Coturnix japonica: one gene and its partner. The protein of the gene in region 1 purifies or fractionates together with the protein of each later gene. This does not show direct contact. Links are inferred from orthologs where the notes say so. Each region holds a gene or a part of one and is shown on either strand. Other genes may lie near its edges.

The links. Proteins that work in one complex are often made in the same cells at the same time.
Region 2: the proteins of EBNA1BP2 (region 1) and BRIX1 purify together in Homo sapiens (affinity purification with mass spectrometry; 4 studies listed by BioGRID and IntAct, counting the BioPlex papers as one, with this or other methods). This does not show direct contact. The link is inferred for Coturnix japonica from reciprocal best matches to the Homo sapiens genes EBNA1BP2 and BRIX1.

Annotation. Positions count from the first base shown.
Region 1 is NC_029523.1:17,301,229-17,305,785, forward strand, and holds the start of EBNA1BP2 (probable rRNA-processing protein EBP2), read right to left. Parts: upstream 2,936-4,557; coding exon 2,834-2,935; intron 2,766-2,833; coding exon 2,616-2,765; intron 2,337-2,615; coding exon 2,170-2,336; intron 1,774-2,169; coding exon 1,650-1,773; intron 1,111-1,649; coding exon 1,021-1,110; intron 809-1,020; coding exon 733-808; intron 486-732; coding exon 395-485; intron 95-394; coding exon 1-94. Other genes in the region: CFAP57 (cilia- and flagella-associated protein 57), read left to right, coding at 3,038-3,206, 3,284-3,600, 4,258-4,538. UniProt on the Homo sapiens protein: Required for the processing of the 27S pre-rRNA.
Region 2 is NC_029547.1:9,686,164-9,690,604, reverse strand, and holds the start of BRIX1 (ribosome biogenesis protein BRX1 homolog), read right to left. Parts: upstream 2,970-4,441; 5' UTR 2,924-2,969; coding exon 2,771-2,923; intron 2,106-2,770; coding exon 1,994-2,105; intron 1,578-1,993; coding exon 1,534-1,577; intron 1,304-1,533; coding exon 1,233-1,303; intron 850-1,232; coding exon 800-849; intron 690-799; coding exon 616-689; intron 522-615; coding exon 471-521; intron 225-470; coding exon 123-224; intron 1-122. Other genes in the region: cell cycle checkpoint protein RAD1, read left to right, coding at 3,169-3,363, 4,266-4,374. UniProt on the Homo sapiens protein: Required for biogenesis of the 60S ribosomal subunit.

The DNA.
Region 1 (4,557 bases):
ATCATTAAAGCTGTCCTTTGTGTTCCACTTCGAGCCCTTTTTCTTTCCACCAAAACCAAACTTCTGATCCTTGTATCGTCTTTTGGCATTTGGTCTGAAAAACAACACTGCTGCATCACCACTTACACACCTTTCCTTGGGAAGCTCCCAAGAAGGAAACAAGTATCTGCTGACAGATTCCCATCAGCTCTCATAGAAGTTTCCCCTCTGATAAAGGGGAAGAATTCAGTCTGTATTCTAATAGGCCACAGTTCTCCTCTCTAGGGACAGAAAGTCATTTGGGACTTATTTTTCACAAGCAGTAATTTACACAGGTTTCCTGTCATACAAAACTCCTACAGAGCTCGAAAAATCAGGGATTCTGCCTTTAAATATCTTTCTTTTCTAATCTCACCCTTTCTTCACTCGCCGATTTGCACCGCCTTTCTTATTCCCCTGAGATGAAGTCTGTTCTTCATCCAGAAAATCCAGCTTGTCAGTGAGACCTGCAAGAGCAAGGACAAAACAGCTGCTCAGCTACCACCACAGAAACCAATTTTTCAGCCTAAATAATAGCAACAAATCACCCTCACTGAAGACCAAGGATTTTTTCTGCCACAAGTGTGTGGTTGTGTATAGCAGCAACCTTTCAAGATTATTGCTCAGCAGCAGAAATGACATCACATATCACAGTGCCTTAGACTCCTGACACATCACAATCCCCATTTAGTCTCTTAGACAAGTTAACTTTACCTTTCTGATACTTCTTGACTGCATTTAACATATTTTTTTTCTCCTTTTGCCTCCTCTGTAGAATCTCTATTTGTACCTGAGAAAAGAGGCAAGATGTTAGTGTTGTTTTTCTCTAGCACCCCATACCTTCTTTAGGCCCTGGTACCCCACCACTGTCTCCCTCTAAGGCAGCTTGACAAAAGGTCAGAGAGATTCCATTTTATCCTGCCTCCAGCAATCCCACTTTCTAAGCTCATTTAGGCTCTTGATTCATGTTATAGACAGGTCCCTTTTGTAGCTCCTCCTCACCTTCTTGCCATATTTTCTCATTGCACGGAGCTGTTTCGCTTTCTCAGACTTCTCCATGGCTTCCTGCTTACTCTTAAGCTTCTGCCGAATCTTTTTAGAGGAAAAGGAAGAAAATTAATGAGTAATGCAAAGGAAAGCATGAGAACTTTAAGATGTCTGTGCAGTTCTGAAATCAGTAATTATATAAACAATATCAACGAAGGCAAAAAGAAAATCTGCCTCAATCAGATAATTTCTCCATAATCACTGCTACCTGTCCAACTTAACTCAACACCCTCAGCTGAAAAGCACTGAGAGCCTGAATACACCAAATATAAACTAGGGGAAAAAATAAAGGATCATATTAATGCCTTCACTCACTACAAGTTTTTTCACCGTTACATATATGAAGAAAATTTAATTTTTAGTACTAATTATATATGGGACACAATGTAAACCACTCTTCTATTTACACTTCCAGCCTGTTGTGGAAGTCTCTACACTGCACAACAGCCCTTGTATACAAACACTGTCATAGGCCTTTGTCAAAAAGATGATGGCAATTATTAAGGACCACATAGTTAATGCTTAACACAGACTTAAAACCAACACACTGCACAGGAATGAAAGCTATTATTCATGGCACGTACCTTCTGCATCTGCTGGTCTGATTTGGCCATCTCTGCAAAGTAATCATCCGGCCTTCTGGTGGGAACATGGAGCTTACGCAGCCTTGGTAAGGCCTCCAGCACTGCTGCCTGTGCCTGCCTGTAACTGGGGAGAGAAAAGAACAGCAGCTCAGTGATGGGGCACCAGACAGCTCAGGTTTTACACATGATACTGTAAAATACACAGCAAAGAGAACTACACATCCACGTAGGTAAAGCCATCCTCTGTTAAAGCCATAGTGTTGCAATCCAGAGACTCCCTAAAGACACTTTTAAGCAACAGATGGAGGTTTGTTGCAAGGGGAGAAATTACTCCCTGTCAGGGATCAGATTAAATATATTAGCATTTATTTGTAGTTATTTTGTAAAACGTTTGGAATCATCAGATGTAGCATAAGATGGGCCAAGAGCCCAGTGATAAATTACAACATCCATGTGAAACCAGACACCAGGCATGCAGCAGTGCATAGAGAACCTATGAAGAATCTCTTTTTCCACTTACAAACTCATCTCCCTCTGGAAATCATTCTCAGGATCAACAGCATCTTTGTTAGCATCGCTTTGTGAGACAGACTCCACAGCATCCGCAATTGGATCCAGCGTCACATCCAGCCTTTCCACCCAAGCCAGTTGCTGCTTGAAATCGGACAGGCACTGCTTCAAACCATCCTAGGAAAGGGAAGCACAGCTCTGAGCAATGAGATGGTTATGGTTGGACTAGATGATCTATGGTTGGACTAGATGATCTGTGGTTGGACTAGATGATCTTCTAGGTCTTTTCCAACCTTGATAATTCTATGATTCTGTGATTCTGTGAGACACACGAACAGCAAAAGTGAATATCCAGGTCACAGAATAGGCTCCAGCTGCTCCTCGTTATCTTTGTGGCCCTCTGCTGGTCTCTCTCAATCTGAGGAGCAGTTCCCCTCGTGCCGCGGCCCAACCCACCCTTTCAGGCCTCAATGCAGCTCCATCCCCGCTCCCCCCCGTCCCGTCCCGTCGGCCGCCCCTCACCACATCGTTGTGCTTCTTCGGCTGCCCCTCCAGCACCACGTTGAGCCCCGGTTTCAGCTCTCCCTTGGCGAAGGCCTCTTGGAGCTGTGGACAAAAAGCGCTCAGACCGGGCCGCGGTGCCCTGAGGCGGCTCCGGGTGGCGGTCCCGTTACCGGGTGTAGGGACGGGCTCACCTCCGAGTCCGACAGCGAGGAGTCCTCGGAATCCGAGCAGTCAGACCCCGAGCTGTGCCGCTCCATGCCGGACCGCTCCATGCTGCCGCTCCTTCTACCGCCGCTTCCGGGCACACACAAGCGCACTGTCGTCACATCCGTCAGCCTCGGAGCCGCGGTTGCTACGGGGACGGCGTTGGCGTCATGGCGGAGCCGGAGGCGGCGGCGGAGGTGGAGCCGGTGGCCGTTTTCGGCTGCAGGCCCGGGGTGTCCGGCGGCCTGTGCTTCCTGGAGGAGCATCTGGTGCTGCACGCGGCGGGGGCGGCCTGTGCGCTGTTCCACACCGAGCACAGATGGCACAAGTTCATCCCAGGTCGCAGCTCCCCTCGCCCGGCCCCGCCGCCTTCACCGCCGCCCGGTCCCGCACTGATCCCTCTCTCCCCTCCGCAGGCCGCGACAAGAGCCAGGGTGTGCGGGCGCTGGCCGTGAGCAGCAGCGGGCGGTACATGGCCGTGTCCGAGACGGCGGAGGAGGAGCCCACCCTGACGGTGTACGAGATGACGGCGGCGCCGCCGCGGCGGCGGAGAACATTGACGGCCGCAGAGCTGCCGGTGAGAGAAGTGGCGGCCTTGGCCTTCTCCCCGGACGGCCGGCACCTGGTGGCTCTCACCGAACCTCCCGAGGCGCATCTCGTCCTGTGGCTGTGGGAGAAGCAGCAGCTGCTGGCCGTGCTGCGCCTCGAGGACAAGGGCAGCGGCGTCTGCCAGGTAACGGCCGCTGGGGGCAGGTTCCATCAGTACACACCCATTTACACTAGTTAAAATGCGGTATGGTAAGGTTTGGCTTTCCTGAAATACAGAAATTCTTCCTGACTTCTAAGAATGGCTGGCACTGTTCAGGTAGATGGCAGCAAAGATGTATTTTTGCCTTGCTTGATCCTGAAGGCAGGGACAGCTCCCTCTTCCATATTACAGTGATGCAGAAGGCTTCTTAGATTAATAGAATTAACGTATCCATAACATCACGTGTCACATTGATAAACACAGTCCTGAAAGAGGGAAAAGTGCAAAGTGTATTTCTCAGTCTCTCTTTCCCTTGTTTGTTTTCTGCATCTCATACCTGTCTAGAACAGGTATCATACTCACATAGAACAGGAATCATACTCACATAGAACAGGAATCATACTTATATAGAACAGGCATCATACTTACATAGAACAAGTATCATACTTACATAGAACAGGAATCATACTCATATAGAACAGGAATCATACTTACATAGAACGGGTATCATACATAGAACAGGTATCATACTTACATAGAACAGGTATCATACTCTCATAGAACAGATTTTTATTCTTATTTCTTTTTTTTCTGAAAGCGAACATAGCTGTGTAAAACCATTTCTCTCTTTTTGTTCCATAGGTGAGCTTTAGTCCTCATGACAACACACAGATTTGTTTGACTGGAAATGGCTTTTTTAAACTCTATAAATACAGTGAAAGGACTTTGAAGCAGACAAATCTACAAAAGGGAGAGCCACCGAACTACTTGTGCCATGCCTGGCTGTCTGAGGGAGAAATCGTATGTGGCACTGCCACGGGCAAACTTTGCCTCTTTGAAACTGGAGAGCTGCTCTGGCAGATAGATGTAGGGTATAGAAAACCACCCAAGGAACTACAAGAAGGCAAAAAAGATGATGAGAGGTAAATCTTTGCAGAATAC
Region 2 (4,441 bases), on another chromosome or scaffold:
TCCAGAGAAACAGGAAAAGGCACGTTCTATAAATAATTATTCTTCTTGTTTTACTGTAATTAATGGATTTGATATAGTTACTCCATTGAGCACCACTGAAAGAGCTGAAAAAGACCACTAACCTGGTAATTTCGAAACCATATTCTCTTGTCTGTGACGGTGAACGTGAAAACATGATCTACAAAAGGCTGGCTTTTGGGATGATACTGTGGTGTACTAAATATCTGAAATAAAAAGCAGCACTTCTCAGTAACTGTAGTTGTAAAGGGACAAGCATTAATTTAAGTTACAAAGTCTCTGATTCCAGATTACATAAAATAAGCTTAAGGACAAGAGTCCAAGTGACTTTAAGAACAACCCTAATTCTTTTGAGCATTTTCTGCAGACTCCGAAGTGTACGATTTGTATGGGGGTACAAAAAGAGAAATTAAAATAACTTACAAAAGATGATGTCCATGCTACATACTGACCTGAATAAACAACTCCTTCAGCAAGGCATAGTGTGGCTCCTTGTCGAAAGTCTACAATGGCAAAAATCACATTTTAGATACAAACTTAAATGCACAAGTAATGTAAATATTTAATGTATTACATGTTCATAAGAACTATACTTACTGGATCAAAGGACAGAAGGGGCCGTGAGCCTCTTAAGCAGTTTCCTGTCATCTTCAATTCTGCCAGCGTGTGAACTAGTAATTTTTTATTTTTTTTATATAAAAAAAACCACATTTTATTACTTAGACAAAGTTAAATAGACAAGAAAGTAAGAATCTAAACATAGTAATATCAAACAACTTACTGTTCTGCACTAAGAATTTAGCTGATGGTCCCTGTGGAGTATTTGAAAGCCTGCAGAACAGAGACATGAGAGAAAAAAACCTTAAGAGCAGCCATGAACTTGTGCTGGATATCTACAGTACACTCCAACAAATCATTTCTGTAAGGAAGTAATCTCAGTCACTTTTATAGCAGCACTTTTAGGATATCCTTTAGGATACTTATGCATACTTGCTTTCTAAACAATTCTGTAAGAAGTTTTAGTAAACTGGTCTGTGGAACCCACTACATGTTTTAAGTTTGTACTACATACAGCAGAAGAGCAGTATTCTTTACGACTTTAAACTAAGCAGTATTTGAAGAAGCCTCACTATTACGGTAACAAACTTTAGGCAGAAGCATTGCCAGTTATGTATACAAATGCAATTAACAAACAAAACATGGTATTTACTTACCACATATAAAGATCTTGTTTCTTTTTAGCTTCAAAGAAGATGCACTTATTACAGTTTTTCATTTCACACACCTACACAAGACATATCAAAAGGGTTATTTATGCAGTCATGAAGACAGCTTCAGAAATTTTCCATATTAATTTCTAATGTCTCTTAACCAAAAGACAGCTTTCTTTTGGCATCACCACCTTTTCAGTATCAATTTTCAGCTATGAAGTTACACAACTCTACAACTAAAAAGAGATGTTTTGAGCTTGGTTGCCTCTTGCTCACAGAAAATAAAGATTAAAACCAGAATTACCTCATTAATTACAAACAGCTTGTCTTTACGGTCCATTTTAGTATCTGGAAGACAAAAACAACGTTGAGAAGGCCTGAACACATAATTAAACAACAACATTTTATAACGGTGTTTGCACGAGTTTTTACTGGCTGTGAATGGAAGATCAGCTACCAAGGGCTTTTTAGCCACGTCATGCTATCACAGAATATCCTGAGTTGCAAAAGTTCCACAAGGATCATGGAGTCCAATTCCTGGCTTCAATCATTTGTTCAATCCAATTGAAACTGAATAAGCCTGGTTTGTTATCATGTATTTTCCGAATTCTAGAATGTGTCCTATGACGCTTTTCTGCACTGTAACAGATATTCAGACTACATTTTATATGTCCCATTATTCACAATCAGTCAGTACCAGATTCTCAGAAATACTTGGTTTGAGGTCACTCTGCAAATGCACTACGGATAACACTCAGCCCTACCTGCTTTAGAATGAGGCATCAGCGTTCTCAGGTCTTGCATTAGGTGCCTTGTTCTGAAATTAATCCCACGAGAGGAGAAAATAAGCACCCGCTCCTTGTTCTTCCATTTACCCTAAAAAACAGACAAAAGCGTTAAACAAAAACCTTAATTTTCTTAAAGTTTCTTACAACAACACCCATTTGAACCGCAGCAACAGAAAAGATGAGCAAGAACATTCATAGCAATCTCATCACCCGCACAGAAACTCCGCAAAGGTTCGACTTCTGACATTACTGCTCACTGCAACGCATATATACAAAAGGCACATAACAACATTAAGAACTCCGCACACAATGGATGTTTTAATAAGAGGGCCCGGCAGAGGCACAGGCTGCCTTCAGATGAACATGTGCTGCGGGCTCGGGCCGCAATGTGCTTCAACGAGAAGCAGCAGCAACTACAGCCATTCCTGAGGCTCCTCAGAGCAACTCCGACACCAAGCACACTCATCATCCATAAAATCGTCTGCATAGAACTCAACTGAAGGCGTTTCTAGATTGTGGTAATACAGCTGAATCGATCGGCCAGAACAGCGCTTTTTTGTCAGCGCTTCCCAGGACGCTATTTCTGTTTGCAGTAACATAATTAGAATGGAACCGCTTCCCAGGACGCTGCTTCTGTTTGCAGTAACATAATTAGACTGTTACAGCCCTCACAACCCGCGCAGTGCCTGAGCTCCCCTCAGCGCCCCGACTCCCAGCGCCGCCCAGCTGGGCCCCAACGCGCCCCGCCGCTACCTGAGAGACCGGCGCCGGGATGCTGTACTCCTCCGGGGCCGCTCCGTCCGGGGCAGCCTTAGCGGTGGCCTCGTTCGCAGCCGGAGCCGCCTTCACTCGCTTCTTCGGCCTCGCAGCAGCCGGCAGCTCACGCTTCCTCTTGGACACCGCCATCTTACAGACACCGCGCCGTGCGCACCTCGCACTTCCGCCCGCTCGCCGCGCCACCGGAAGCGCCGGCGCAGCTGATAGCCGTGGCTTCAGGCCCCTGTAGGCCCGTGTAGGCCGCGCTAGGCCAGTCCGGTCCCGTTAGGCCGCGGTAGGCCCGGTCCGGTCCCGTCAGGCCGCGCTAGGCCCGGTCCGGTCCCGTTAGGCCGCGGTAGGCCCGGTCCGGTCCCGTTGGGCTCCAGGAGCCGGCCATGCCGTTCTCCACGCAGTCCCCCGGCAGCAGCGAGCAGTACGTCCTGACGGCCAGCCTGGATAACGCCCGCAATCTGTCCAGCCTCCTTAGGGCCGTCCACTTCCAGGATCATGCCACTTGCTTCGCCACAGACAACGGGCTTCGGGTGACTGTAGAGGATGCCAAATGCATTCAGGCCAATGCGTTTATCCAGGTAGGGTCTGGAGGCTGAGCTGCTTCCCGTGGTTAACGGTGAGAAGGGGCTGGTAGCAGCGTTAGGGACTCGAATAAGTGATGTGGTAGAACTGGTGTACAGAAGATGAGCTGTGGGGAAGGGGAAGCTTTAGTAAAGCCATAGAGTATTTGCAGAAGCTAATGTGAGGAAGATGCAGTGATTAGAATGTGGCCATTAATTAATCATATAGTGGTTGGGAACAGTCACATTGTCAAATCCTGCCATAGACAGATCATAAAATCATTCATGTTGGAAAAGACCTTGATGGGATGAGAGGTAATGGTATCCAGTTGTTCCAGGGGAGGTTCATGTTGTACGTAAGGAAAAACTTATTCTCAGAAAGAGTGGAGAGGTGTTGGAACAGACTACCCAGGGAATTGAAGTCATTGTCCCCAGAGGTGTCCAGAAATGAGGAGATGTAGCACTGAAGGACGTGGTTTAAGGAGTCTTGTGGGGATGGCTGATGGTTGGACTAGATGATCTCAGCAGTCTTTTCCAACCTTCATGTTTCTATGCTAAGTCCAGCCATCAACCTGACCTCCTCATTATCATTAACCCAGGTCTCCTAATGCCACGTCCACACATTTTTTAAGCACCTCCACCACTGCCCCAAGCAGCCTGGTCCAATGGTTGATCACCCTCTTCAGAAGGAGAGTCTTCCTCATACCCAATCTGTGCCTCTCCTGGTGTAACTTGTTATCATTTCCTTGTGCCGTATCACTTGTACCTAAGAAAACAAACATCTCCATTACTGTGATTATGTGTTAGGTAGTTATAAGCAAATGAAGAGATCTCCCAGTCACTGAAAATGTAAGACATGAGTAAGTTGTGAAGTAATTGGAAAAGCTTCACTGTTTTCATCTCTTACTTTTCTCCCAAAGGCGGAAATTTTTCAGGAGTTTCATGTTCAGGAAGAATCAGTCGTGTTCCGAATCAATTTGGCAGTTCTTCTTGACTGCTTGACCATTTTTGGAGCCAGTTCTTTGCCAGGTATAGTGTATATATATGTATATATTCCTTGACTGTGTGTATGTATAGCCTGTAATTGCACAGTGAA